4 linked regions of the Alligator mississippiensis genome follow. The protein of the gene in region 3 interacts with the protein of the main gene of each other region in a biochemical or structural test. Links are inferred from orthologs where the notes say so. Each region holds a gene or a part of one and is shown on either strand. Other genes may lie near its edges.

Region 1 (6,925 bases), on a different chromosome or scaffold from region 3:
GCAAAGGGGAATGTGGAGAGGCTAATATGAAGAACTGTAGGGCTTCAACTGAACTTTGATCAGCTCTGAAGACTGAAAAACTTGATGAGGATGAGAGTGGACCTATTCACTTATGAAATGACATGAGGAAACCTGGCAAAGGCTTTTTCCTTTGGGGACTGACTTTTTCCCCATAGGTTTTATTAAAAAGCACATTTGAGGTTTTGTTCCTGGTTCCTGGGGAATGATCTTTGTTTGGTCATGTTTGACAACCCTTCCAGGAGCAGGATACTAATCGCCATTGTCCCCCTGCTTTCCTTGTGGTAAGTTAGGTTGCAAGATAGCATTGATTGTATAGTTTTATTAAGGGGTTAGACAAGGATTTGTATGGGATGTCAGGCAGGTGGAAGGACTAGGTGAACTCCAGAGGCCCCTTCCAGCCCTTCTTTTCTCTGATTCTGTGTTCACACAAGGAAACAAGCTAAACAAAACTAGACATGTCTTTTCCATCTCTAAAGTCAGAACTGGCTGTCGCCTAGCAAGTCTCCTGGCTTTTTCTTTCCTGTTCAATATTACAGAAACTCTGGGGCTGAAGAAGCAAAATTATCTCAAGTTTGAGGTGAAGAAGGAGGAATTATTATACGATGCATAGTGATGATAACTTTTTGTCTTCTGCACAGTGTTAGTAGCCCCTATCTAGTAAGTGAGCAAACCTTCTATAAAGAAAATCAATGAAAAGGTGCCTTGACTTAGTCTAGAAAGGTTTAAATGCCTGAATTAAGTGTTAGACTTTTTTTTTTTCCTCCAGATTTCAGTATATGACATGTCCATACTTACAATATTCTCATGTCTAGGTAGGATCAAGTTAGTATTTTGGTTAATGGCTTCACAGGATTTCTGATTGCACTACAAAGATAATTGTACAGGGAAGACCCTGTTCCTCTCTCGTATTGTTCACAGGCAAGGAGTTGCTGCTATGAAATTTTCCTCTCCAGTCCTGCTGTGTGGTTTTGGGAGATGCAAGCAGAAGATTCTCGTGTGCCCTTGAGAAGCTACGTGTGCCCTTGAGAAGCCAAGGGGGCAGCAAATGAAATTCATGCAACCTTTTGAATCTCAAAAGAAGAGAGCTTTAAAGCAAAAATGAGGGCAGGATCCTTGTCCCAAAGAATTTACAAATGTAACGGACAGCAAGCAAATGAGATTCCATTATCATTTTTATCATACTGTTTTCACGTTATTTTTATTTCTACTCATCTCAGTCTTTTAAGGCAGGTATTAAGTAAGGTTGATCTTGCCTGGAGATATTCTAAGTGCTTTTAACTTTTTATTTTAAACCATTTTTAGAAGTGCACCGATATATTGGTGCCATATTGGATTGGCACCGATAAAAGAAAAATTACCATTATTGGCTATTGGCTTTTTTTGGCCAGTGTAGCCAATAATGTCACCAATAAATATAATATTGGGCCTCCAGATGCCACGTGCATGCGCGCAGTCACATGGCCAAGAGTGCAGCCAGGCGGTGTGGAGAGCAGTGCCCTGCGGGTAAGTCTGTGGAGGGGAAGGGGCATGGGGGGGGTAGATTGAGGTTACCACAGTGAGGGAGGAGTGGGGCAGGAACTCCAGCCAGGGGGGTGAATGGGACCTGGGGCAGGGAGCAGGACGAAGCCACAGGTGGCTCGTCCGGGGGGCACGGGGACATGGGGGTGGCTCCCCACTGCTGTGTACACCCCCCTGGGGGAGGCATGGGGAGGGCATGTGCCCCCCAGATTTGTGTGTGGGGTGGATGCGGACTGTCCACTGTGGGCTTAGGGCTCTCTGCTCTGGTGCCTTTGCGCTGGGGGCTCCGTGCCGGCCATGCATCTCCTGCCCGCTCAGCAGTAGTGGGGGTGGTGAGTTGTGCGTCTCTCTGCCAGGCGGGTAGGGGATGCACGGCCAGTGCGAGGCCCCCAGGGCAAAGGCAACAGTGCATTAAGCCCTGAGCCCACAGCGAGCAGCCTACATCCACCCTTGCCCTTCTCAGCTCCACTCCCATCAGAAGTGTACCCGTGCTTAAAAATGGTGGTGGTGGCACTCAAACTATGAGCTTTAGTTCAAGTACCCCCACCACCATTTTTAAGCACTAGGATGCTGATCACCTGGACAAGCTGCCTACGCTGGCCCCAGGTCCCATTCACTGTCCTGGCTGGGCAGTGCCCCCAGCCCCTGCCCCCACTCCCTCCCTCCCTCACCGTCAGGGCCTCGATCTGCCCCCCATGCCCCTTCTCTCTCCTACACCTCTTCCACTCCACAGACTTACCTGCAGAACGCTGCTCTCCACGCTGCCTGGCTGCATTCCTGTAAATCGGTTATCTGATCAGTACTAGCTGATATGGCTGGTTAATAGTCAGCTATCGATATTGTCCAAGAAAATGTTTATCGGTGCACCCCTACCATTTTTGCACCATCAAGGCAAATAGATGTTAATTTTTTCTTGTTTCCCCTTTTAATGTAACCACATTGCTAAAATATATTAAAAGGTCAGCAAGACTCAAATCTTAGAAAATCTTGAGAAATGTGACTTTTTATTACAGTTTGTTTCATATCTGCAAGTGAGCACTTTTTTCATTCTGTGATCCTATAGACCACTACTGACTTTTCTTTAGAGCACTCCATTTTCCATTATTAACAAGGCTTACTCAGTTGGATTGTTATTAAATTAGTAATGAATTAATTATCAGCCAAAGCTCTGTTTTTAACACACAACCTTAAAAGGGATGGGAATAAGAAAATGAAAAACCCAGCATTTATTGCCACCTTTAAGTTTCAAAGTGTTCTCTAAATTCATGAAACTTGCACTTTAATACCAAACCTTAACTCTGATAGCAGGATCAGTTGCATAAAACCCTGCTGGTGTTTCTTACTATGGCACAGTCCATTCATTTACAGTTAATGTCTACTTGATCATTGCAGAGGTGATGATCAAGGTTGTGCATTAGAATATATTGTACTTGCTTCACAGTGTTTTGGAAAGCCTTCGTGACCAATAATTCGGAGAAGACTTCTTGTTTTTAAATGCAGGCTGAGATAATGGAGAACAACATGACATCCTTAAAATGCTGCGTCACTGAGTTGAAGTAACCTAATTCTCATAAACCCAGGCACTTTTCTGTACTGAGGTGACGCTCAGTCTGATGGATGTGAAGGGTTGATGGAGTTTTGTCCACAGTTGCATGAGAGACAGTTGACATCTTTCAATAGCTTATAACTCTTCCCAATCTGAACAGATTTTCACGAGACAAGGAAACTACATTTTCCATGACTATCCCTTGTTAAACTCCAGAGTCTTGCTGCAAACAATTGAGGTAGTAGCGCTGTTAAAAAGTAGTATCTTCTTTTTCTGTCATTTAAAATGCAAAGTAACCAAAATACAGAGCTTGCTGGTGATCCCCTTAATAAGAATCTTTTAAAAAGTTTCTGCGTGGATCGTTAATATAAAGAGCACCATCTGCCGGCATATTGGGATTTATAGCAATAGGTCAGAGTTGGTTGTGCAGAGTTCTTACACTTCAAATTGTTTCCTGATTACAGCTTTGGGGCTAGCTCATGGTCCTTCTCAGCCTTGATGAGTGGGAAGAGTTAACAAATCCTGTGCTCTCCTAGAGGCAAAGGGGTGGGTACTTTTTCTACTCTTCTGCTCCCCCTCTCCAAAAAAAAAAAAGCTGCTTCCCTGGGTCTCCCTATGCCCTAGGGAAGAATTGATCTGAGGTAAGCTTAGCTGAGGGACTGGGTCTCTATCTCATGGGGGAGGGCAGTGTGAATGGGGGCAAGTGCTGAATTTCTGTCTCACTGTGCTGTGGAACACGTAGGGTTAAATTGGATGGTGGGGGAGGGGTACAGTTTGATATTGCCTCCCATGTTTCACCCGCCCTCTTTCCTGTTTCTGCCTCTCTTGGTTTGGCAGGAAGTTGCAGGCACTGATAGTTTCGATCTGTCTCACTCCTTCTGTGAGTCCCGTGTTGGAGTGGGAGGCCTTTTCTGGGTCTCTAGACTGGGAGGCTTTTCAGGACACGGGGATTTTGCCATGGGGACGTAGATCGCAGGAGCATGGCCCCGCTGGAGCCCTCAGTGGGCTTGGTTATTATGGTAAGTGAGGGCTTGAGAGAGGCTGACTTTAAGGCTGAATCAGAGCTTGCGGGGACCAGGGTGGGGGGTGTGCCAGGTGTGGAAATGGCGCTAGGTGTGGGAGGGTTTGAAAAGGAGGTGGGAGTCAAATCTCCTGGGTCGTGTTTGGAGCTGTTGTATCTGGCAGATTGACAGGGAAAAGGGATGTCAGGGTTGTTTGAGTTGTATTTCTGCCCGTGCCCTTTCTTCGAGCCCTGTCTGTCTGTGTGTTGCCGTTTCCCTGTCTGTAGAAAGGGTAACTCAGTGGAAGTCACCCTCTGCCCATCTCATGGGGGCCCTTTGCTGAGGGAGCCTCTTTTTTGGCCTCTGCAGTGAGTTGTGATGGTCCTCAAGCTGGCATGCTTGTTGGGCAGAGGCTCCCTTACCTAAAATATCTTTGTAAAGTTTTTGTGCGTGCAGCCCTCTACAGCTCACCAAAACTCAGTAAGCAGCCCACCAGCCGAAATAATTCCCCACCCCTGCTCTAGAGTGTACGTTAGTAACTTGTTTATATAGCCATGTGATAATTGGATAAAAGGAAACCTAAGAGAAATTGAAGGCTTGCACTATGTTTCTTGAGGTGCTGTCACTTACCTGGATCCTGCTTTCCCTTATCTGCTCACCACAGGAAAGAACACTTTGCTCAGCAGTGAGGGAGCTTGCTTTTCCTGAGGTTCCCCACTTGCCTCCACAACCCTTTAAGGTGGGGGTGTCAAACATTAGGCCCCGTGGGCTGGATGAGTAGTGTGGAGCCAGTCTGCAGGCTGGATTGGGCCCACAGACTGGCCCTGCAGACCGGTTCAGGGCAGGCACCTCATACAGGACGCATGCTGGACCCTGTCTGGCACACACAAGATTTGGCCTCATGCCATATGCAGCATGTGGGACCGATCCAGCATGCTCCTCATATTGGCAGATGGGACCTTTCTCAGACCCACAGGCAGCACCCTGGCCCAGCTGATAGAGCTCCGCAGGCCCGATCTGGCTGGCAAGTTTGATCTTTGACACACTTGCTCTGAGGTCTCTGATTTCTGCTGGAAATGCAGTGCTGAACTTTCCTGTCAATGCTCACAGTTCTAGTGCCTCCACTTCCATGGATTGTCCTGAATCCAGTACCTTTTCCCAACCCCTTCTTAGGCCTAGTCCCCTTTCCTTTGTGTCCAGTGTTCTGCAGCAGCTCAGGTCTCCTTTTATCCATTTCTCCCTCTTGTATCTCCTGTTCTTCCTCCCCATGTATCCAGTGCCCCCCAAGTACCACTCCCTAACACCCTCTCATTCCCCTTTCAAGCATAGCCAGTGCCCTCTACCCCACCATGTGCACCTGGTGTCATTTCCAGTCTTCCTGCTTATTCCTGTTAGCCTGATAGTACTGCATCTACTGAGCACCAAAGTGCAATGCTGTTCCACTTCTCAAGTTCTTGAAAAATAAGAGAAAGGTGAATGGGTTCTCCTCCTTCTTGCTGCTCTTTTCAGATTTAGTCTGAAGTCTAAGGCAATGGTGTGTTACAAAGTTACCCATGTTCATGTTTTTCAGGAGCTTGAGCAGTGTAGAATAAAATTACACTTGGGCACCTAAATGGTGTTTAATGATGGTCTGGAATCTGGCCCTGTGTGGCTGTATAAGAGTAAACCATTTACTTAGAGACCTTGGGGTAGGAGGTGTGTTAAGTGGTCTCAGGGATGTTTGCAGAAAGGGAGGGAGAGGGTGTCAAACTATATTTGGGAGTCTTCAAGGAGCTTGCCACTATGGATGGGACCATTCTCAGACCCACAGGCAGTACCATAGGCCTGTGGGTGGGGGAGAGGTCTGGTGTAGGACTGCTGTGAGGGTGGTGGAGTGTGTACGAGCACCAGAGTCTTGGTGGAGTGTGTCAGAAGTACTCTTCAAGGCCTGTGCAATAGTGAGGTGACTCAGAGGAGTCAGTAAAGGATGAGTTTTATTTCTTAGCTCTAGTGGCTTCTTCATGGCTAAATATTGAATAATGTTTTGTGAAAAAAGTGAATCCAGGGGTTACTGTAGCACAAGGTTCTCAAGCCAGCAGCTGCCATGCACCTCTGCCCCATCCCTGACACAGCAGCAGCAGATCATTTCACAAGCTGCTAAGCTGCTTCCGTTTGTTCCTGAGTTCCCAACTCAACAGGAAGGAGGCTGGACTTACTGGAATGGCAGCACTTGCTTCTGGGAGTTGCAAGTTTGAACATTTAACCCCGGAGGTGCTAAGATCAGCTAGGAGCCTCTTACACCTCTAAAGGGTTAAGGGGTTTCCTTCCTGCGATTTGATAGTTTCATAGTAGCTAGGGTTGGGAGGGACCTGAACAGATCATGGAGCCTGACCCCCTGCCACAGGCAGGAATGAATGCTGGGTTCACAAGACCCCAGACAGGTGATTGTCCAACCTTCTCTTGAATTTGCCCAAGGTAGGGGCGAGGACCACTTCCCTGGGAATTTGACCCCACGCACCTCCCCACTCTTATAAACTACCCTTGTAAATGTGGGGGTTGATAAGGGTCACTACTGACTCAACAGAGAGACGGCTCTGTTCTGACTCACCCATGGCCCTCTGTGTAGTACTCAGTTATTCAGGGTTTGGTGGCAATACTTGTTTTGCGCTGTGAGGAATCCGGCTCAGGGGACATGTTATTAAAATAGAGAGCCTTACTACCAGCCACAATCATTTAAAAATTGCAAGTGAGACCTTCCCCACAAAACCATGATTTTTTAAAATCTAATACATTTGGGTTCTTTTCCTTCTGGTTTTAGAGCCGCCAGGCTTATTTTTGCAAGTCTGAGAGGTAGAAAGTT
Region 2 (7,881 bases), on a different chromosome or scaffold from region 3:
GGACCACAATGCCTGCCACTGAAAAACACACCTTCCTCTGCAGTGACTCAGAGTCTATGGATTGATGCACAGTGCCAGTTCATCACCAGTTAGGGCTGGAAAGGAAGGAGCAATGCCCCCTCCTGCCTTTGAATCTGGATGGCAGCAATGCAAGGCGAAATCAGGCTAGGGTACTGGGTTCAAACATCCCTCCCCCTCCCCCCAAGAGGGCTCCAGAGTTTAGATTTTGGGGTCCTTGAGGAAAGTGAGGCCACATGCAATGCAACAGGAGGGTGATCAAAGGTAGAGCGCAGAGGAGGGCCTTGGCTGCTGGGTTTATTACAGAGCCCAGAACAACCCTTTATAAGGGTCGAGGCATTTGGTTTTCAGACTCCAGACCTTGTTTATGTCCTCCTGGGGGAATACTGTCATTTCGTGCTAATGCAGAACCTTCCACCCAGGGGCTCTGTGCACGGCTCTGATAAGGTTGCTCAGAAGGGAAGGCTGGGTAAATGCTGCCACCACCTTTTACTAATGAGCAGCAGGGAGTAAGACATAGTAAGAGCGGAGAGCAACATTTTCAAAACCAGCCGGTCACTTTTGGCCCCCGGCTTGAAATGCAATAAGCCTGGGTTATGAAATGCCAAGCACTCGGAGATTTCCTTGGAATCCAAGCAGCTGTGCTTGGTTCTTCTGCAAATAACAAAATAATTAAAAAAAAAAAAAGTTAGTAGCTGCTTTTGGTATAGCTGGCCTAAGCGACTTATTCAACCTCCTGTAGGAAACCAGGGCAGGTATCAAGACTGTAATCCAAGTCCAAGTGACGGTGTTTCTAGGCACAGGGTATCTAAAGATCCCTTCAAAATGTATTTGCTGACAGCTTCCTGTATCACTTCCTATCTTGCACATGCTTGTAAGACATTCTGCATTTCACCCCAGATTCAGCTGCCTTTCCCTGAAGGTTAAAGGCATTTTCAAAACATAGGTGGTTTGCAAAGTACTTTGCATGTCCATCCGTCTGAAAGACGCTCTTATGCACATCAATAATTATCGTTAACCTCCAGCACGTCACACCCTCGTGCCTAACATTTAACAAATTTACCCGGCTCTTGTTGGAATGCAAGAGCACAAGCTGGATATTCACAAGGCAATGTGAGTGCTCTTTCATGGGAGAGACACTGAAGAGCTAATGACATTTGATGGGTTAAGGCCATTGGTGAGTCAGTGTTGGCAATTAGTTTATTTCTGTGGGAGGAAGGTGCTTTGCTTCATTAAGCTAAAAGCAGTCCCTTTGCTCAGTCTGTACCAGACACCCTACATGCAGACAGACATCGGATGCTAAAATGCTGTTGTTGCCTTGATCACAATATGCCTAGTGGGCAGGATGGGAAAAAATCCTGGATCCACCCGAGATTTGTTCTGTGGCTGTCTGCAAATTTCCCGGTTTCAGGAAGGTAGTTAGGGACCACCACACTGACAGGTGTGGTAATGGGAAGGTAATTAGATGGAGTCCCAGTTCTGGAGTAAGCAGATCCAGCACCCCTGAAGTCTAATGCCATTTATTGGAGGGCTAACTGAGTCATCACCTGGGATCTTGGTTTTCTCCCGATTTTTAAAAAATCCCCAACTTTTGGTTAAAAAAAAATAACCCCAAATCCACATTTTTCCATGAATAAAGTGAAATGCCACTCTCTCTCTCTGCATATTAGTGGCATTTCATATAAATCATGGAAATACATGGATTTGGGGTTACTTTTTTTTTAAACCAAAAATTGAGGATTTTTTTTAAATCGGAGAAAACCAGGATCCCTGGTCATCCCCTGCCCTGCCACCACTACCAAGTGGGATTGCTAGTATAGCAGAGGCACGCTGCAATGTTTAATCAAAGGTCTAGTGTAGCCTAGCCTAGACATCAGCCCAGCCCTACAGGCCCTAAGGCTTTCACATGGGGAAGTGACTGAACATAGAGCAAGTTTGCTGATATAACCCAAGAAGGAAGACAATCCAGTGCTCCCCCCGCTTCCTCCCACGGCCCGGCGGGCTCCGAAACACAGCAAACACTTATTTTGTTTGTTTGCCACCAGTCAGCAGATCTGTTTCCAACTTCAGCCAGGGAGCAGATCTGCTAAGTCAGAGGACAGCCGCTTCGTGCAGTCGCTTTTGAGAGCCGGGTTAGGCTTTTATGGCTTGGGATGAACTTGGAGGTCCTTGGACAGAGAAGGCAAAGCCGGAGTTACTCACTGGGTTGAGTCTGAAGCAGGGCCGGCTGTTTAGACAGTCTTTACAACCTTCAGAAACCTTTTGATCTCTGGCAACTGTCATGCCGGCACTGATAGCGCTCCGATGGCCCCGCTCTGTCTTCAAAGCATTTGGCCGAATGTTCAATAATTCATACTAATGATAAAGCGTGCGTGTGTGTGTGTAGCGGGGGAGCAGCGCAGGAACAAAAGCAAGTTCACCGAGATACAGAGCTGATCACTGGGGCAAAGGTGTCGGGAGCCGCTCTCCAGCAGAGATAAGGAGAAGCATCCTCTGAACTGGAAAGGGACACGGTGCCCGCGAATGCACCGAGACCTCCCCTGAGATTGGGAGACACCCACCCTGGGAGAAGAAATGCAGCCCTTTCCCTGGGAGGTCCCCCCCCCCCCCCCCACTTCGTTTCAAGGTAAAGCCCCTGCCAAGCCCGCAACTCAGGATGGGCACCTTCACAGAGGGCACTCGGCAGTGCACCCTCACAGAGATGCCTCCGGGACTTTCCCCCCTTGCACCAGACATTTCAAGCAGGAAGACGTGCATCCATCCCCTCCGGGGAGACCCCAGCCCGACCCTCTCCGCGCCCGCAGCGGCCCCCGGCGCTGCCCCGCTGCAAACCAGCGCCCCCTGCCGGCCGGCGCGCACGGCACCAGCTGTCCGCGGGCACCCGGGACGGGACGGGACGGGACACTTACATATCTCCGCAACTTCTTCTCCGGCGGCGACTTGCGCAGCCAGCCCGAGCACACCACCTCCCCGCCGCTCATGCCGCCGGCGTCTGCCCGCGTCTGTCCGCGCTGCCCCGGCTCAGCCCGAGCCCGCGCCCGCTCCGCCTCCGCCGCTCCCCGCCTCCTCCCCGCGGGGCCGGGCTGCGCCCCGGGCTCCGCCTCCCCGCGCCGACACCGGCCGGGCAGGTGCCGCCAGCTCCGCTGCACAGCCAGCCCCCGACAGCAGCCGTCCTGGGGAGCGGCCCGAAGCAAGCGGCGGGCTTTAGTATAGGAGTGACTTCAAAAAACAACAAGCGTCCGCATGGGGAAATGCTGCCTCCCATGGATGCCCCTTTCCCCGGGGCAAATGTGCTCCCCCCTGCACCTAAAGGAAGGGGCATCATGCAGGGGAGCATGCAGGGCGTGGAGAGCCTGCCCCAAAATACCCCCCAGCCGGACAGAAAAATAGGGATCTCTGCAGGAAATGCTGCCTGCCATGGATGCCCCTTTCCCCGGGGCAAATGTGCTCCCCCTGCACCTGAAGGAAGGGGCATCATGCAGGGGAGCATGCAGGGCGTGGAGAGACTGCCCCAAAATACCCCCCCGCCCAGCATCACAGAAAAGTAGGGATCTCCACAGGAAGCTCTGACTGGCATCAATGCCCCTTTCCCTGGGGCAAATCTGCTCCCCCTGCACCTGATGGGGAGAGACTGCCCCAAAATACCCCCCAGCAGGATAGAAAAGTAGGGATCTCTGCAGGAAATGCTGCCTGGCATCGATGCCCCTTTCCCTGGGGCAAATCTACTCCCCCTGCACCTGAAGGAAGGGGCATCACGCAGGGGACCGTGCTGCGGGGCATGGAGAGACTGCCCCAAAATACCCGTCAGCATCACAGAAAAGTAGGGATCTCTGCCGGAAGCTCTGTCTGGCATCGATGCCCCTTTTTCCCCAAGGCAGGCCAGGTTCTTTGGGTCAATTTTATTAGATTGATAGCTGGAAAAATTGTTCTTTGCAAGCTTTCCCCTTCTTCAGGCGTAGGGGGAGTCTGCAGTTGTTTTGTGCTCTCCTGGATGGGGTAGAAGGCAGTGTTTGCCTTTCCCTGTGGCAAATGTACTGCCCCCCCCCCAAAAAAACAGGCTTTCTAGACGCATCAGGCAGGAGGCCTTACTTGGCATGGCTAGATATTAGCAGAACTGCCCCCCCAAAAGGCCCTTGAAATGAGCTTTCCTGGGCTGGGGGGGACTGATAAAAACTGATAAAAGTGTCATATTCTATTATTGATTTCAAAAAAGGCCTCACAGAAAAGTAGGGCTGGCAAGGCCCTCCAGAGGGAACCCTGCCTGCTACCCGTGCCCTTCCCCGGGGCACATTATCCCCCCACCTCACTGAAGCAGGGGGCTTTCCACACACATCAGGGAGGAGACTGAGCCTGTCACTGTCAGACATTAGCAGAAAAATAAGCCCCCAAAATAAAGCCCCCTGAAATAAGCATTCCTGGGGGGAATCGATAAAAGCGTCATATTTTATTATCGATTTTTAAATCCTGTCGCAGCGCCCGCTCGCAGGGGGGCTCAGCCGCCACTGGAGTCTCGGGCAGACTGCCTGGGGATCGTGTTACAGGAGAGGGTGTCGGTGCTGGAACGGGCAGCCCGCTTTCAGAGCTGGAAGGATGGTCTGTCCCCATCGTCTCCCGGTTGAAGTCCCCATTAAAAGTCCCATTTGCAGTCGCCAGGAGCAGGCTGGGCCTTCCATCTTCATTATCTCTTCCCCACTCTCATTTATGAATTTTTAAATGGTCATAGATATGGTCACTGGAGAGGCAGTTATAAATGATTCATGGGAAGAGTGTGCACTGAGGGGCTCGGCCCTGGGAACGGTTCTGATCCCGGTTCTCTTGGTTCACCCCGTTTGCTGTGCCAAGTTACTGGCACAGAAAGGCCGTGACAGACAGGGTGCAAGGCTGGGATTCGAGACGCTTTGTTTTATTCTGTGGCTCTGCCACAATGCTGCTCAGGCAAGTCACGGCAGCTTGTGGTGCCTCAGTTTCCCTTTGCATCCTTTGCCAACTTAATGGGCAGGGACTGTTTCTCATCGTGTTTGGACAGCACCTAGCACAACAGGGCCTTCATGTTGGCTGGAGACTTACAAACAACCACCCTTGGCACTTATAAACACCTCTCACCCAGGGATCTTACATCACTTTAGAGTCAGTAATTAAATCTGATGCTGTCTACTAGAGATATGTAGGACACCCATTTCTCAGATAGGGAAACTGAAAGTAGGCAACTTCATTTATTCATAAAGGCTACAATGGTTGTAGACTTTATTAATAGTTAAGACAAAAATCCTACAGGGCAGGTTATGCTGTTTGTTAGACACTAACAAAAATAGGTTTTCAAGCTCCTAATGTTTCCTCTCCCGGGGACGAAACACAATCACCAAAAACAAAAAAGGGATTTTCCCCTTTCATTGTCCAAATCAATGGATTTTGGATGGGGCCCTTAAAGTCAACGGGAATCTTTCCAAAGACTTCAATCAGCCTTTGGGGCAGCCCCCAAATCCCTGAAAGTACTGCGTGCTAAGCAGTCGGAGCAATGAAAACATGTCATACAAAGTCATTACAGCGTGTGTGTTAATGATTCATGAGCCATACTTCATACCGATGGGGTCCACTGTAACTGCCTTTAAATGATATCACAAAGCCAGTCTGGATTTTTTATGTTAACAAGTTTCAGGGTTGATGCACACCATTTGTCATCATATACCATAGATTTATAAAAGGTTAGAGTGGGGACAGTCATAGAATAAGGTATTCAGCACATTTTGTGATATTTTGTGGATTAATTATCCCATTCCCTTCCACTGTTTATATCCAGTTTGCTCAGTCAATTAGATTGCAAAATATATGCAAACAGCACTCGAGATGCATGAATTTTTTTCTTTTTTTCGTTTTTTGCCCATCCTCCCAGAGAAAAGCCTGCAAACATACATCTCAAAGACGCTCGAAATGGCTGTCATCTCTCCACCTAGATATGTTAGCATCTCTAAATGAAATATAAGCCCTGTGCAAAAAATAAAAACCTGCACACTGGATGCAAAAATAAAACCCTCCAAGATCTTACTACCTGCCTGCCTGCCTCTGTGCTGTGACTCAGTATTGCAAGAGTGAGCCTAACACATAAATTTGGCATTGCATACATGCTTTATGAATTTGCTACATCTTTCAGGTATACAATCTCTATCCCAAAGTGCTTCATAGTGTTAGACAAGAAAAAGCTCACCTTATAAGCAAGCTGATCAGTAAAGGTATCAACTGGATACCCATATAAAATGAATCCACCTCTGACCTGACAGCATTTCCAGCCATGCTGCTCTTATAACAAACAACACAGGCTGCAAGCTGCCCTCCAAGCCAACAGTGAACCAAGCTCCTCCAGAGCTGGTAGCACTGGATCTGTAGAGGGCTTGAGCTAAGAAACCAGGAGCCCTAGCTGAAGACTCAAATAGCCCCAGATCTGCTGTGGGTGGGGAAACATTGCAACCAAAAAGTTACACAAAGCTTTGGAAAATCAGTGATCGCCTGATCTGCAAGATCAGGGTTTGCAAGAGAGTAATTAATAAGGGAGAAAACATGTGAGAAGGATGGATCTGATTCAATGCATTGCAGAGGTACAGGAAAAGTTCCAGAGATGGCTTTTCTAGCAAAGTCTAGGCACACTGCCAATAAGAATGAGACAGATTTTTCTTGTTTTTACCGCTGTCTTCAATTTCCTCCCGTGTTTTAAGTTGCACAGGAACTGAAATCGGTGTCTGGAAATCAGAACTTCTACGAAACACCACCTGGCTGATTTCTGCTTTGTGCTTTGGAGTTATTTGTGCGAGGAGCTGCACCATCTATTGGAGAAAGCTGGAAGTGGCAGGCAGAATAACTCACCTTATTCTCCATTGGGTTATTGTTGTTTAAGCAATAAGGATAGCAATGCAGGGCATTTCCTGGCACTTAAGGACCAGCTGGGCAAAGTACTTGGGGTTATACATCCAGCTGGTCATTAATCCCCAGAAAATGTCCTATAGGGAGGGTGCAATTGGTGGGATAAACCTATACGCATTGGAGGAAACAAGACTTAAAACTCAGCCGTGCTGCTCTATATGGTATTCGCCTCCTTCCCTGTTTTGCTCACTATTCACATGGCTCCCATTGCAGCATGAGCTGCATGCCTTACAGCCATTAGTGAATGCACCTTCCCCAAATACCTCCCTGGAGCAGAGCTGGGCAGGAAACATTTTTCCATCCCATTAACATTTTCAAGATTTCAAACATTTTCCCTGTACTGCAGTGGGTCAATCCCAGGACTTGCAAAATCTTTTGTCTCTCCAACAAGCAGAGCATTTCCCCTTACCTCCAAAACAGTCAACAGCCCAGTGCTTAGAGCACTCATCAGATACAGCAGATCTAAGTTTAAAGCCCACTCTATAGTAAAGGCTTGAACCTATTTCCCACGTAGCAGGTCTAACCACTAGGCTATTGCCTAGGCTGGAGTTTGCATTTTCTCCCAGAGCTGAGAAACCTTTCCCAATTACTGGCAGTGTGTAATTGTAATTGGCACATTCTCACAAAACATTTCAGATGAGATGACTTGGTGTTTTCTAATTAAAAACTTTTATTAGAAAAGTTGCAAGCAACTCTACTCAGGAGAAAAGGAAGTATTGGCCTGTCCTCACTGGACTGGAACTACGATAAAGTTACTATAACCATCCAGAAATGGAGTTATGATAGTGTGTCTAGACAGATAGGAGAAAGGGCACAGGACCTGGTTTACTAGAAAATTTAGGTGCCTATTTCGATTTTGAAAGATGCCTAGGGCTGAGACATCTAACTGCAAGTGAATTCAGTGGGACTTTTGGGCTGCTTTTGAAAATGTGGCCACTCAATATATGTCTG
Region 3 (7,822 bases):
AGTACTATAGCAGGTAATTAAGCTTGCTGTTGACAATAGTCCTGTGCTTGGTAATCTTTTGTTTTTCTTTAAAGTCATACAGACAAGCAAATGTAAAGGTCTTTTTACCAGTTATGATCCTGACCCTGCTTTTATTGTACATCTTCAGCTCCCACTGAATCAATAGGCACACTGGATGGGGAAGGAAGACAGCAAAACGTATAAATAGAACACTGGGAAAACAGTTAGACTTTGGCTAACCTAACCAATATTGGGTGTTTTACTTAAGTATGACAGGAGGAGACAGACTGGCTCAAGGTATTCTTCTTTATGCTAAGTTCACTTTTACATTGTTAAAGCAGAGTGAAGTAGCCTTAGTTTAAATAGAAATCAAGAATGGGATTTTCAGTTCTAGGTCACCAGCTTAAATTGAGCCCAGCTTGGTAGTGACTAAAAGTTATTAGCATCTGATGCACTTTTGTAAGTTTTAGGATTGTTCCCTGTGGATCAGTGCTCACATCTAATCTATTTAAGCTTTTCTATCACATTTATCACCATGGTATCTGAGTGCCTTACAAGTTAAAATATATCTTTTTAAAGTATCTTACATATTTTACATTTCTCTCCCTTCGCCCCCACACACAGGTTTGGGGTGTTTTGAATAACCTGGGGAAGGTTATGTAAAATCCATGCCATTTCTATTTTGTTCGGAAATCTGGGAATTTCATGGTCTTTTTGAGATGCTCTAGAAATGGATTCCAGGCTTCTAAACCAGCTGCCAAGAAAGCTTTGTTCCTTGTGCCTCCCTATAAATAACATCACCTCCAAAATGCTGGCAGCCTCAGGGGCAATATTGATAATTCTGAATGAATACAGAGATGGAACTATGCTTTGCTGCAGGGCTCAGGAATGGGGTAGGGTGGCATGTTGCTGTTCAAACTGTACCCATTCTGTGGATAAACAGAGAATGGTCTATCCTGGACTGACAAACTCTTTCAGTAGTGCATTTATTTAACACAAAAAAGTTAGCAGTTAAAATGGCTATGGGAAAACGGGCAAAGTTAAGATCATCTAATCCTACGAGAAGCCCATCTTTAGAAGCCCTGAACGTAATAGGGAAACAAAGTTAGTCCACGCCATGACACATTTAACTTGACTGCTTTAATGATTAACCTTTTCTTTCTGTGCCTTTTTAATAAAGATACAGAATCTTGCAGGATATGACTGCATCTGTTTGGGGCACAGATATTTTTCTCCTGCTTCCAGGTACTGACTTTTTGTTAAAAATACCCTCTTTAAGACTGATCCTGCAGAGACTTAGTCATGTGCTTGACTTCAGGTCAGGGACTTCAGTAGCCCTACTGAGTTCCCCAGACTACTCTTGCTTAAAGCACATGCAGGGGCAGGGCCTCAGTGTCACCTCATTAACCTAAATGAGTGATTTTGAATTAGCACGCAATGTTAGCATGGTTAGGGGTGCAAACATGATTCACAAGATTAACTCAGAAGTATCAAATCGGAATCCATCCTGTTAAAATCATCCTGACTAGTTGTGGGTTTTCAGAGTTCTTCAGAATTGCTCTGTTGTATTTCTACAGTAAAAAACAAACAACTGAGAGCTGGCACTTTCTGAGAGCTGCCTCAAGTCTGAAAAAAGGTTGACAACCACTGACCTACACAGAAGGATCCAATGTGAACTACACGGTAGTGAAAATAAATGTGCAGAATAAAATGCATGTGATCCCATCCATATCATGTCTCTCTCAGTAAGTACAGTATATTGCTTCATGAAAACATAACAATCCTGTGCAATAAAAATATTTTCTATAGCAAGCATATCTTCTGAGCTGCTAGTTTGTTTTTAATTGGACCAAATATGCACTTGAATGCATGTTCAGGTTGAGCACCATTGTACACTCAGAGGGGTTAGCCATTTTTTTCATACTTTACTCATCTGCCTGATTGGTTTCTTTATCAATTTAACATATCCAAATTAAAGTGGGAAATATACTAGGTGTGCAGTAATTTAAATTTTGGAGGGTGGGGGGGTATAAAACTGGTTTGACAGGTTGTGTTTAAGCTACATTCTCCATAATCATTTGTTTTGCATTGGCTGATAACAGATTTGTGTATGTATTCAGAACTATAAGCACACATTTATTTTTAAAGGTGTTGAGAGCCTTTTTGTCTTATTTTTATTTACAGTTTCAGGAATCTGAAACATTTATTCACATCTGCTAATGCCTGAAATTTCTGAGAAAAATAATGCCAGGATTTTAAAGTAAAAGAAAAAACTGAAAGGAGAGTTTTAGATGAGGGGGAAATAAACACATGCAAAATAGCAAAGGTACATATTCCATTTAGATGCAAGCAGAATAAACCACAGAGTAAGTGGGTGCGTCAACACAAGACACTTAATGCATAGTAGACTAATTCTACTGTGCGTTAGTGTGTCACGGCAAAAACCATGCTAACGCAGTAGAACTAGCTTTCTGCACATTAAACATCAGAAAAAGATGGTGTGCTTTTGTTACCATGCATTAGTGCCAGCTACAGTGCATTTATGTAGTACCTCATATTGGAGGTACTAAACTTAATACACTGTAGCAATGGTGCATTAATGCTTTTGTAGACATGCCCAGTGGGTATTAAATGCAGGCTTTTCATCATGGGATATTGCCAGCTACATAGGACAGTTTTGACTCAATTTAATGGCGTTGCAGCTAAAATGGTGACGTACTAAGAACTCAAACATCAAGATAGATGCTCTAAATCAGGGCTCAACAACCTGTCTCAAGAGTCAGATCCAGCCTACAGACCCACTGGATCTAGCTTTGAGGGACATGGGGCTTTGGCAGCAGTGTCTCTGGTTGCTGTGACAAAAAGTGGCCATTGTGGCTAGGTCCAAGTGACCATCCACTCTGACCTGAACCGGGTCAATGTGGTCCGCAGCCTTAAAAGGTTGCTGATTACTGCTCTAGGTTGCTGTTTTGCTTACAGACACTGTAGTCGAAACAGAAATATTATTTTCCTCTTGGTTGCTGTCCATATGCTGAGCCAAATGCTTGGGGTGAGTGGCTGTTTAAAAGGAGAGAGAACAATGTGTTGAAATAAGGTTTAATGGCAGTTGGCACCAGCTGCTGAGAATAAGGTCTGTTTTGGCCCATGGGAATGAGAGCTGGTGTGGGGCAACTAGTAAAAGCAGAAGGGATGTGATGCTGAAACAGCAGCTGGAGACTGATTAAGTGCAGTGGCTAAAACAGAGCTCCCTTAAAGAGAAAAGACAGGAATTGTCAGCTGAAAGCCAAGTGTAGTGTGTAAGAAGCCTTGTCAGAGATCTGGACAGAGAGGGGAAAAAAAGGAGAAGGCAGAAGATGGAACTACTGAGAAATTAAACAGAGGATGATTACCTGCTGGCCTCCTAGTAGGGAACCATTAAGCAGTGCAGCCATGTTACTGGTGATTAAACAGCAGAAGAGCTTGCTGCTCTGGTCACCAGCCTTTCGCACCTCAGCCACAGGACGAAAGGTGAGACCACAGCGAGAATGCTGCGCAGAGGCATACCGACAATGCCCCAATTTGACAGCATACTCAAATGAATAGGGCATTTCAAGCAGCTGTGTAATGCAACATTAGCAGAAAATGAAATGGCAGTTTGGTTTGCAACGAGGCAGGCGTAGGATCTTCAAAGCCAAGAGTCCTATGGAAAATAACACAATGCTCAGAGAAGTGCAGCAAAAACTGAGAGAACTCTAAGGCCATTGTACACAGCCCCTGCAAACTTCCACATCAAATCAGGGCCATTTTCTTTACAGGCAAAACAGTAAGATAGACATTATTGCAACCAATGATCACAGGATGGTACAAATTATAATAAATGTGATGTTCACATACTTCTTGTTCTGAAGACAAGCTTATATTTAAATAATGTGAAAAACGAGTAATAGAAAATATAATTGCATACAAAGACAATGCTAATTAAAGGTTGCAAATCAAGTGCTGTGAAGTTCGGGAGATGCCAGAAGCAGAGTTGCTATGCAACTATAATTCAGCTCCTTTCCATTAGCATTGGGCCCACGAGGATCTGGGAGATCCTCTAATCTGATCTGCACTCACAGATGCAGGATTTTTCTGTTCTCAGAACCTTGCCCTGGATTATACCGGGAGTTTGCAGAAGGGTCAGGAGCACGACCCAGGTCTCTGGGTCCCAGGCGGGCGCATTAACACAGGAGAGCATCCTCTCTCCTCCTGCCGCGTTCGTTCTGGGCCTCAGCAGGCAGTGCATGAGCCTGCAGTCCAGGGGTGGGCAAGTACTGGGGCCCGAGGGCCACTTCGGGAGTTAGGTGAGCTGTCCCGGGCTGAGTCAGCACCGCGCCCCACCCCACAGTCTGCCCCCGATCGTGGCCCCGCCCCGCACTGCCACCATCCCGTGAGCCCGGCCCCAGCCGCGCACCCCGCCCGCAAGAGCAGGAGCAGAAGCAGGGCGGACAGACCAGGGTGCCCAGGCACCGGCTAGAAGGAGCTGCCACACCTCGGGCCCCTAGGAAGCGAGTCTGGAAACGCGCTGCCCTGCAGGATCACACCACAGCCCAGGGCACCCCCGCACACCGCACACCACCCCCCGGCGGGGGGCCATGCCGTGTTGTGCCCGCCTGGGCAGGGGGAGGTGAAGGCGAAGGCGGAGCGTGCTGGGCAGGCGAGACCACGCCCCACCCCGGCCACGTGACCCCGCCCGTCACGTGACCCACCCGCCGCTGCGGCTGTGAAGTTACCGCAGTGTCCTCGGCCCCGCCCCCTCCGCGCGCGCCCCGGCCCCGCCCCCCGCCCCGCCCCGCCCGTGCGCGCGCCTTCGGCTTCTCCTCACAGCGGCGGCGGCGGCGAACGGGGTCGGGTCGGGCCAGGTCCGGTCTTTCGGAGCGCACGAGCCGCCCGGGCAGTGCCGGTTACCGCGGCAGCAGCGTTTTGGTCGCCGCAGCGGCTGCCGGCGCGGACAACATGGCGGCGGTGTCGGGGGCCGCGGCTGCGGGCGGCGCCGCCAATGCGGGCGGCCCCGAGATGGTGCGCGGGCAGGCCTTCGACGTGGGGCCGCGCTACACCAACCTCTCCTACATCGGCGAGGGCGCCTACGGCATGGTCTGGTGCGTGTCCCCGCCCCGCCCCGCCGGCCTGGCCCAGCCCGGCCCGGCCGCGTCTCCCCTCAGGACGGGGCGCGCCCAAACCTGCTCCGCGCTCCCCTCCCCGGGCGCAGGTGCGAGGTCCCCGCGGCTCCGCCGGGCTGGGGCTCGGCCCTGGCAGCCGCGGGAGTAACCTAGGGCCTGCGGAGCCCGGGCCGCGCCCCAAGCCAGGCGGCCTCGTCTCCGCGGGGGGCTCCACGGTCCGCTCCTCGGGCCTCTGCCCGTTGCAGGGCCGAGTCCGCCGGGCAGAGCAGGCCTTGGCCGGGGTTACTTGCTCCCGCGAGGCTGCCCCGGCTCGGGGCTCTGTGGGCAGCCTGGGTTGGTGCTTTCCTGCTGCCCTAGTGCGGATGTCCCCGGTGCAGGTCGGCCCGAAGCCCCCGAGAAGGCACGTTCATGCATTCGTGTTTGACACCAAGGCCGGGATGGTACTTCTGTGCATCCTCCCGCTTATTTTGGAAGAAGGGTGGGGGGTTGTCACAGGAACCATTTAACTTCACGGTGACAGGATATGTTTGGGTACTGAAAGGCTGCAAGAAGTGTCAGGAAGGATGCAGCCCTCTGGCAGTTGCATCCTTTTTTTTTTTTTTTTTGATAAGGCAAATGAGCAACCTTTGGTTAATGGGCAGAAGTAGGGAAAATGCCCCTGCCTTTCCTGTCTCTGCTGTGTTAAGGTGTCGCACATTTTTCCAAATGTTCAACTCTTCCATCAGTCCTAGGAATCTGAGGTTATACCTTTAATTAAAAAATAAATAAAAATGTGCAGCTTGTTGGTATTTTCTGTAAGTGGATGTTGGATTGTCTCTGTTAAGAATACTAATTCTAGCGGGTCTAGGGGGGGTGTCAGGTAGTATGAGGTGGTATGAGTGCAGGGTGTATCCTCCTTCTGGGCTTCGTAATTTAAAGCAGTTGCTCTAGGAAGCATTGTGGCTTTTATTTAATTGCTATTCTTTGGTACAGTCTCAAGTGTGAGAGGACATGGAACAAAGTCTGTCAGTTTATGTTGTGTACTTGAGTAAGAAAGCGTTGGATTGCACATGTCCTAGTGAGGTGCCATAGCAACTGCAGTATTTTGGTAGCGCATAAGACACAAGCTACTATGATTTAAATAAGATTACTTTCCAGTTACAGGAGTTACTGGTTGTACAGATTAATGCTAGATGTGTCATGGTTTGCTTTGCTGGCAAAGTTGCATGTGCAGTTCTCACAGTTCAAATCTGTAGAGGCCTTTTCAGTTTAAGGAGGCGGGGTGGGGGGGGGTTCTATTGCATTGCAAGTAGATTTATCTAACTTTTAATGAAGAGTTGTGGCTTTTCCAGTCAAGGAAGTCCAACTTAATATATTAAATCTGGCAATTGCAGTTATTTGTGTATTGTACTGTGTGGTTTCTTAGTGTGGAAATGTCAAGTGATTTTGACTCTTACAACTCTCCAGGGTATAAAGGAAAATATAGACCAAATAAGCCATTTGCTTGAATGTGTTCCCATTCAAGTTGTCTCTAATATGGAAACCCTTAGGCAGTCAAATGCCTGCCTTTATCTCAGTTGTCCATAGTTGGTCCAGGTTTTGAGTAGAAGCAGAAATTGAGTAAAAATACAATTATTACAGCACTACATGGCATAGTGTTCTCAGGGTGTCCTTTTTCAATATTAGAGCAAATAACGACTTTGTGCCTTGACTCTAGAGACCAGATTCTGTCTTGTGTTGAATTCCCATTGAAATATTGTGCTGAGAGATTAGGATATGTCCTTGTTCCTAGGACAAAACTCTAGGCTCTGCCTCTCCTGATGGTCTGTCGACGGGGGTTAGCCACTTCATAATTACTTTTTCTTTTCTCACTGTTTGTTTTTGTTCCTTTTACATAATAAAGACAATTATGAAAGAGAAAACATGGTGCAAACAACCGAAATGCGAGAGTTAACTAAAACCCTAATTAATTTCCAGGATTGAATCTCAAGCAATTTTGAATTATGTCCCAACAAATAAGAATATATATAAATACTGCATTCAGTCTAACGTACATAGTTGTTTTATCTAGTTTTTTTCATCTTTCCAGATATGCTCTCCATCTTAACTTTTTTTTTTTGGCTGGGTTAGTCATTTAACTGAATGTTTAAAATAATATTCATTTTTTGGAAAGGGATAGTTAATATCAGTGTTATGGGTTTTTTACTCTGCTTTTTAACCCATTGTTCCCCATCAGAATTTCTGCACGTGGAGTATTAAAGCAACAACAGATATAATACATATTTAAAAAAAAAAACCATAAGTGAATGCAACTGGACTAAATGATCAGATCTTGTACCTATCTCAGGTTCCCCATTGTGTCTTTCGAGTCATTGATAACATTGTTTAGCTACAGTATAAAGGTTAAAATAGGCTAGTTAAATCTTTATAGCATAGCTGTTCTTGATGTGAAATGACTCTTAATGGCAGTTTTGATTTTAGGGTGCTCTGCTTCCTGCTAGTTCCATCAGAATTGACCTTATGGGAGAAGTTGTGAAGAACTGTCCAGTTTAATTTTAATATACCTATTGTTCCTCTTGAAAAGCCTATTCATGAACTGATTTAAAACTGGAAAATTAATGAAGAAGCCACTTCCTAAAATAAGTATTTCCTCAAAAAGGTGAAAAATAGGAAACTTGATTACATTGATGTTTTTGTGGAAATGC
Region 4 (6,363 bases), on a different chromosome or scaffold from region 3:
ACCTTACTCACTTCAGCCTTAACTTGAACTTCAGTTTCTTCTTTTCCCAGGCACTAATTTCTAATCCTACACGAGATGCAAGAAATGTCAACTCCGCTATCCTCTCATGGAGGGAGGTGTAACTTCAAGCTGATCTTTCCCTCATTAGCTTTACGTTATTTCTCATACTTCTTACAGTCATCTCCTGGGGTAGTAGTACACTCCACGTACCAAACGCAGGCCCTGAAGGATGATTGCTTTTACTTCTGCCTTTTCCTACTTGGGGTTACTCAGAATGGCAACTCTAAGTTTCCTCCAGTTTTGCATGGATTGTTCCCATTCAAATTTCTCAAGCATTACCCATCACATGCCAACATTTTCCCAGTAGCATCCAGTATTTCTTTGCTGTGCAGTACCACCCCTGTTGTCCTGTAAGTTGTTGTGTTTACTGGAGAGGAACTATTTGCTGCCTAAGAAAGACAGATGATGATCCTTCCATCTACAGGCTTTCAGGATTACTGACTGGTATCCTCCCGATTACACCAAACTGCTGGAATCTGATTGACCATGTCAGTAATTGAGCTAAAATCCCTTTATCAAACCCAAACACAAGAACTGTCATACAGTTACTTTAGACAAACCTTCTAACTAACTGTATATTAGATGGCAGTGTTGCAGCAGTTATTAATGACTTCACTCACACAGTAATTACAGCTACAAGCACTCGATCTGAATACAGGCAGTCCTCGACTTCCAACGTTTCGAGTTACAACGTTTTGCATTTACAACGTTTATAAATTGACACCCTGTTTCAACTTTCTGATGTCAGTTTCGGCTTTACAATGCTTGAACTGATGTGACGCCACACCAGCGAACAAGTTTGCTGCGTCGCTCATCTCCCTGGAGAACGTCTGTCCAAACTTCCTTGGACACTTTCTTTAAGAAAACAGACAAGACTCCAGAAAAACCTGCAGCCAGGACTGCTAAGAAGACTCCAGCCAAGAACCCTTCAAACAGTCCAACCAAGAGCCCTTCAAAATGTCCAGCAAAGTCACCTCAAAGAAGTCCTTCCAAATCAATGTGATTGCTATTTACGTTATAAATACATTAATGTAGCTATATTACTCAACTATAATTGATCGAGTATAAAATTCTGGGGTATTTTTGGTGAAAATAGGGTATCGGGCCTTGGTTCAGGAACCAATCCCCCATTTATAACATTGTTTCTTATGAGAAAATCGGTTCTGAGTTACGACGTTACGACTTAAGACGCGGTTTTCAGGAACCAATTGTATTGTAAGTCTGAGGACTGCCTGTACTTACAACCAGGCTAGAGAAGGACTTCCTTGCTGTCCCAGTCAACAGACTAACTCACACTCCCAAGGACCCCTGTTTAATCCCCTTAGATTTCTCATTACATCTTCTTCTGAGCTCCAGAAATTGATCAGATCTAGCCCCTGACTTGTATATAAGCCTCTCTGACTGTTTGCAAAACACAAAACCTTCTTCTACCATCCTTGTTTTCCTTCAGCCCATTCTCAGATATACTGGAGCCAGGTGACTGGTATACCAGGCTCCTTGCTGTGACTCTCCCACCTTTCCTAGCTCTTTTCCTTTGTCTTTTCCTTTTCCTGTTGACCAACATGTGCACGCAACAAATGACACGGGTCACCTGTGGGTGTGAGAGGGGGCAGGTACCACAGCAGCAGATAGGTCAGGAAGGAGAAAGCAGAACAGCAGATGAGATGAGGCAGAGGAGTGGCACCTGGGGCTGTTGAGGGCTAATTTGTGACATGCTCACCGAAAAGGCTTGCCTCCAACCTCTGTGGCTTAGTAGCTTCCACCATGACACTGGGCTCTGTTTTCCTGCTTAAATCGTGCATTCCTGAAAGTCTGATCCAATGTTGGACATCAGAATATATTCAAACACATCACTATCCAGTCCATAATACCTTCCTTAACATACCACAACATGATGCCTACATCATACACATCTCACCTCCACAGGGCAGCTCACAGGTACAAGAGTGAGCCTGAAACTTCGCCCCGTAAGCTGCTTTGAAGGACTGCGCATTTTCTTTATACCGAACCAATGCAGTTGCAACACAGCATCAAGAGTATTGGACTCAACTTAGTGAATCTGCTGCTTTTAAACCAGAGATTTCAACCAGGCTGTGGTGCTGGTGGCAGGAAAAATATTATTGTGGGGAGCTGAATAAATATTATTGTGGGGGGGCTGACCCACGCCCCTGCAGGTTTATTGCAGACCCGGTGTGTGCTGGTGCTGTACGCGGTGCTGGAGGAGCAGCGCCGGGTGCTGTGGGACAGCAGTGCCGTGGTGCTGGTGCTGTCGCTGGCTGCTGCAAAATTAGTTTGGGGGGGCTAAGCCCCAGCCTTCCGCCACCTATAAGCTTTGGGCAGGGCTGGATTCATGCATAAGCAAACTAGGCACATCCCTAGGGCCCTGTCCGCCTCCCTTCCCTTCACTTCCCCTTCCCTCCGCCAGCCTCGCCACTGCGGCAGCTGCTTCCTAGAGGCCGCTCTGAGCCCTGCTCCCCGCAGGCAGCAGCACCAGGGTGGGGAGAGGGGTCTTGACCAGCCCCGGGGTCCATGAGCTTGTTTGCCTCGGGCTTACAAAAGGGTTCATCCAGCCCTGGCTGTGGGGGCACTGCCAGAACCTTTAAAGGCTCAACATAACTGCTATTTATTGGGTCAGACCTTAGGTCCGTCCAGTCCAGCATCCTGTCACAGTGGCTCGAGGGCCAGCCGATGCTGTCTGGTGTGCTCTGCTCAGCACCCCCCTTGGAGCACTTCCCCGTCGCTCTGCCAGAGCAAGACCCGCCATCCCGTCATGCGTCCAACAGGCCCATGCGGGGGCGAGGGTGGCCATCATAGAGGACAGTCCGCTTTTCTGCTACACTGTCCTCTATCGGTCCGAAACCCGACGCCTTAATGTCCTCTCTTTTTCTCTTTGAGAAGACCCGATGCCTTTATGTCCTCTCTTGTTCTCATCTGATGTTTTTCTTGGAGAAAAAACAGAGGACATAAAGGCGTCCGGTTTCATATCAATAGAGGACAACTGGACTGTCCTCTACGATGGCCAGAGAGCGGCACCGAAAGGTGGCAGCGGAGGAGAGCCGCACATGGGACCGACCCGCGTCCCCTTCCCCGCACGCCGCCAGGGGCTGGTTCTTGACCCCGAACGCCGCCAGGGGCTGGTTCTTGACGTCACCCCGCCCAAGGCCACGCGGGATCATGACACGATTATAACCGTCCCTGTTAGCAGGCCCCGTCAGACAAAAACAATCCACAAAAAACTGGATTTTCCTTATTTCCGCCCCAATTTACAAACTCAAAACATTTGAATACACGAGGAACGCATCCATAGATGAATAAAACCACGTGGAGCCATGGGCGCGTGTATTTTTGTCATTTGCCAACAGAAAAAATCCAGGGGTTTTTTTTTGCTTTTTATTCCGATTTAGCCACCCCTGGCGTGGCGAGGCCCTGAACTGTACTTTCAAGCCTAAATGCGGGAGGGCGCTGAGGGAGTGCGACAGCGAGCCAAGAGCGGGGTGTGTTACACATGGGGGAGCGGTGCCGGGGGGGGGGCATAGGGAGTGGTGTGGGGGGGGTGTTGCACGTGGGGGTGCACAGGGAGTGGTGCGGGGGGTGTTACACACAGTAGGTGCACAGGGAGCAGTACAGGGGTGTTACACACGGGGGTGCACGGGGAGCTGTATGCGGGGTGTTGCGCATGGGTGTGCACAGGGAGTGGTGCAGGGGGTGTTACGCACAGGGCTGCACAGGGGGTTACACACAGGGGTGCATGGGGAATGGTGCAGGGGGGTGTTACACATGGGGGTGCACAGGGAGCAGCATGTGGGGGTGTCATGCACAGGGGTGTTACACACAGGGGTGCACAGGGAGCAATGCGGGGGGTGTTACACAAAGGGATCACAGGAAGTAATGTACGGGGGTGTTGCACACTTGGGTGCACAGAGAGCAGTGCAGGGGGATGTTGCACAAGGGGTGCACGGGAAGCAGTGCGGGGGTGTTGCACACGGGGTGCACGGGAAGCAGTGCCAGGGTGTTGCACACGAGGGTGCACGGGGATAGCAGACAGCCCCCTCCCGCACTGTTCCCGCGGCGCCCCCGACCCTGCCCGGCAGCAGGGGGGAGGGGGGAAATCACGTGACAACCGCGCTCCCCACCCCCTCCGCGGGAACCCCCGGCCCGTCCCATACATCCAGGCGGGGGGGGGAGTAGGGAAGAGTCCATCATCCCCCGCGTCACCCCCGTGCCCCCCCTCCCCTCCGCCCCGCTTGGTATCTACCTCCGAAGGAAGCCCCGCCCCCTTCGGGCGCCTCTTCAGCGGGCAACCGGAGATTCGAAAACAATACGTCAGCCCACAATGCGCCGCGCCGACCTGGTCCGCATTACCTCATCCCGGCTTGCCCCGCGCGCGGGAGGAGAAGCTTCGAGGGGCGGGGTGGCCATGGAGACGGGCTCGTAGGCAACCGGCCCGCCCCGCCCCCTCCCCCGGCGGCCGCAGCCAATGGGGAGGCCGCGGGGTGACATCATGGGCTATTTTTAGGGGGTTACTGGTCGCTGATAAGTGTCGGGCTGCACGCGGCGAAAGGGCTCAGACGCGCGGCCGCCAGCGCTGCCCCCTGCGCCCGGCTCGGCTCGGCTCGGCCTGCGGCGTCTCGGGACACACGCGAGCAGCAGCCGGAGGAGGAGGAGGCGGCGGCGGCGCAGCGCAGCGCAGCGCAGCGGGACTCGGGCTCCTGCCCGCAGGGGAGAGGCCAGGGCCGGCCCGCGCCCCCCGGCTGCCCGGTGCCGGCCCGCCCGCCCTTGGCCCCCTGTTCTATGACTGCAAAGATGGAGCCTACCTTCTACGAGGATGCCCTGAACGCCGCCTTCGCGCCGCCCGAGAGCGGTGGCTACGGATACAACAACCCCAAGGCGCTGAAGCAGAGCATGACCCTGAACCTGGCCGACCCCGCCAGCGCCCTGAAGCCGCACCTGAGGAACAAGAGCGCCGACCTGCTCACCTCGCCCGACGTGGGGCTGCTCAAGCTGGCCTCGCCCGAGCTGGAGCGCCTCATCATCCAGTCCAGCAACGGGCTCATCACCACCACGCCGACCCCCACCCAGTTCCTCTGCCCCAAAAACGTGACGGACGAGCAGGAGGGCTTCGCCGAGGGCTTCGTGCGGGCGCTGGCCGAGCTGCACAACCAGAACACGGTGCCCAGCGTCACCTCGGCCGCCCAACCTGGCGGCGGCGGCATGGCACCTGTCTCCTCCATGGCCGGCAACAGCGGGTTCAATGCCAGTTTGCACAGCGAGCCGCCGGTGTACGCCAACCTCAGCAACTTCAACCCCAACGCCCTCACCTCGGCCCCCGGCTACACGCCGGGCAGCATGGGCTACCCGCCGCCACCACCGCCGCCACCACAGCATCACATGAACCCCCAGATGCCGGTGCAGCATCCCAGGCTCCAGGCGTTGAAAGAAGAGCCTCAGACTGTCCCTGAAATGCCGGGGGAGACTCCTCCGCTGTCCCCCATTGACATGGAGTCTCAGGAGAGGATCAAGGCTGAAAGGAAGCGCATGAGAAATCGAATCGCCGCCTCCAAGTGCCGGAAAAGGAAGCTGGAAAGGATTGCCAGATTGGAAGAAAAAGTGAAAACTTTGAAAGCCCAGAACTCAGAACTGGCATCCACTGCCAACATGCTCAGAGAACAGGTTGCACAGCTTAAGCAGAAGGTCATGAACCATGTCAACAGTGGGTGCCAGCTCATGCTCACACAACAGTTGCAAACGTTTTGAAGAGATTGACTCGAGTCAGAACTAATGAGGTTGTGGTAGAGCAAACAAACCCCCCAGAAGTGGCAGACACGTAAAGCTAATGGTAAAAGCTGAAAGGCATTGAGTCCTGCCTGCGCCCCGCCAAGCGCATGTGTGGAAAGACTGGCAAGCCTTCAGTCCGAGCGAGTGGGTGAAGCAGCCAGCAGCACCGCTCTGAGAAGTGCTGTGCCTGCTCCGAGGAGACTTCAGATCTCTTGTTTTAACACTGACCAAGACCTGCATGGACCTAACATTCGATGATCATTCAGTATTAAAGGTTAAACTGCAATAGAGACTGTAGTTTGCTTTCTGTAGTACTCTCTTTAAAGGAAAAAAAAAAAAAGTGGGAGGGAGGCTTGTGGGAGGCTCATAAGGAAAAAAAAAAATGAACTATACTGCCTGCCTTCACTTAAATTTGTGTATGTACATATCTTTTTTTTATTATTATTATTTTATGAAAGCTGATTAATGTCAATAAACTACTTCATGACTTTGTAAGTTATTTTTATGTTGTTTATTTGGGGTCTGCCT

What was found.
Region 1: the proteins of MAPK1 (region 3) and TNFRSF1A form a complex in vitro, tested with the Homo sapiens proteins (2 studies listed by BioGRID, with this or other methods). The link is inferred for Alligator mississippiensis from reciprocal best matches to the Homo sapiens genes MAPK1 and TNFRSF1A.
Region 2: of the proteins of MAPK1 (region 3) and GAB2, one has a biochemical effect on the other in vitro, tested with the Homo sapiens proteins (2 studies listed by BioGRID). The link is inferred for Alligator mississippiensis from reciprocal best matches to the Homo sapiens genes MAPK1 and GAB2.
Region 4: of the proteins of MAPK1 (region 3) and JUN, one has a biochemical effect on the other in vitro, tested with the Homo sapiens proteins (2 studies listed by BioGRID, with this or other methods). The link is inferred for Alligator mississippiensis from reciprocal best matches to the Homo sapiens genes MAPK1 and JUN.

What each region holds. Positions count from the first base shown.
Region 1 is NC_081824.1:254,190,704-254,197,628, reverse strand, and holds the start of TNFRSF1A (tumor necrosis factor receptor superfamily member 1A), read left to right. Parts: upstream 1-3,903; 5' UTR 3,904-4,065; coding exon 4,066-4,104; intron 4,105-6,925.
Region 2 is NC_081824.1:464,867,233-464,875,113, reverse strand, and holds the start of GAB2 (GRB2-associated-binding protein 2), read right to left. Parts: upstream 3,024-7,881; 5' UTR 3,000-3,023; coding exon 2,928-2,999; intron 1-2,927. UniProt on the Homo sapiens protein: Adapter protein which acts downstream of several membrane receptors including cytokine, antigen, hormone, cell matrix and growth factor receptors to regulate multiple signaling pathways.
Region 3 is NC_081833.1:15,153,403-15,161,224, reverse strand, and holds the start of MAPK1 (mitogen-activated protein kinase 1), read left to right. Parts: upstream 1-4,806; 5' UTR 4,807-4,974; coding exon 4,975-5,117; intron 5,118-7,822. UniProt on the Homo sapiens protein: Serine/threonine kinase which acts as an essential component of the MAP kinase signal transduction pathway. MAPK1/ERK2 and MAPK3/ERK1 are the 2 MAPKs which play an important role in the MAPK/ERK cascade.
Region 4 is NC_081828.1:13,377,643-13,384,005, reverse strand, and holds JUN (transcription factor Jun), read left to right. Parts: upstream 1-4,850; 5' UTR 4,851-4,851; coding exon 4,852-5,814; 3' UTR 5,815-5,842; downstream 5,843-6,363. UniProt on the Homo sapiens protein: Transcription factor that recognizes and binds to the AP-1 consensus motif 5'-TGA[GC]TCA-3'.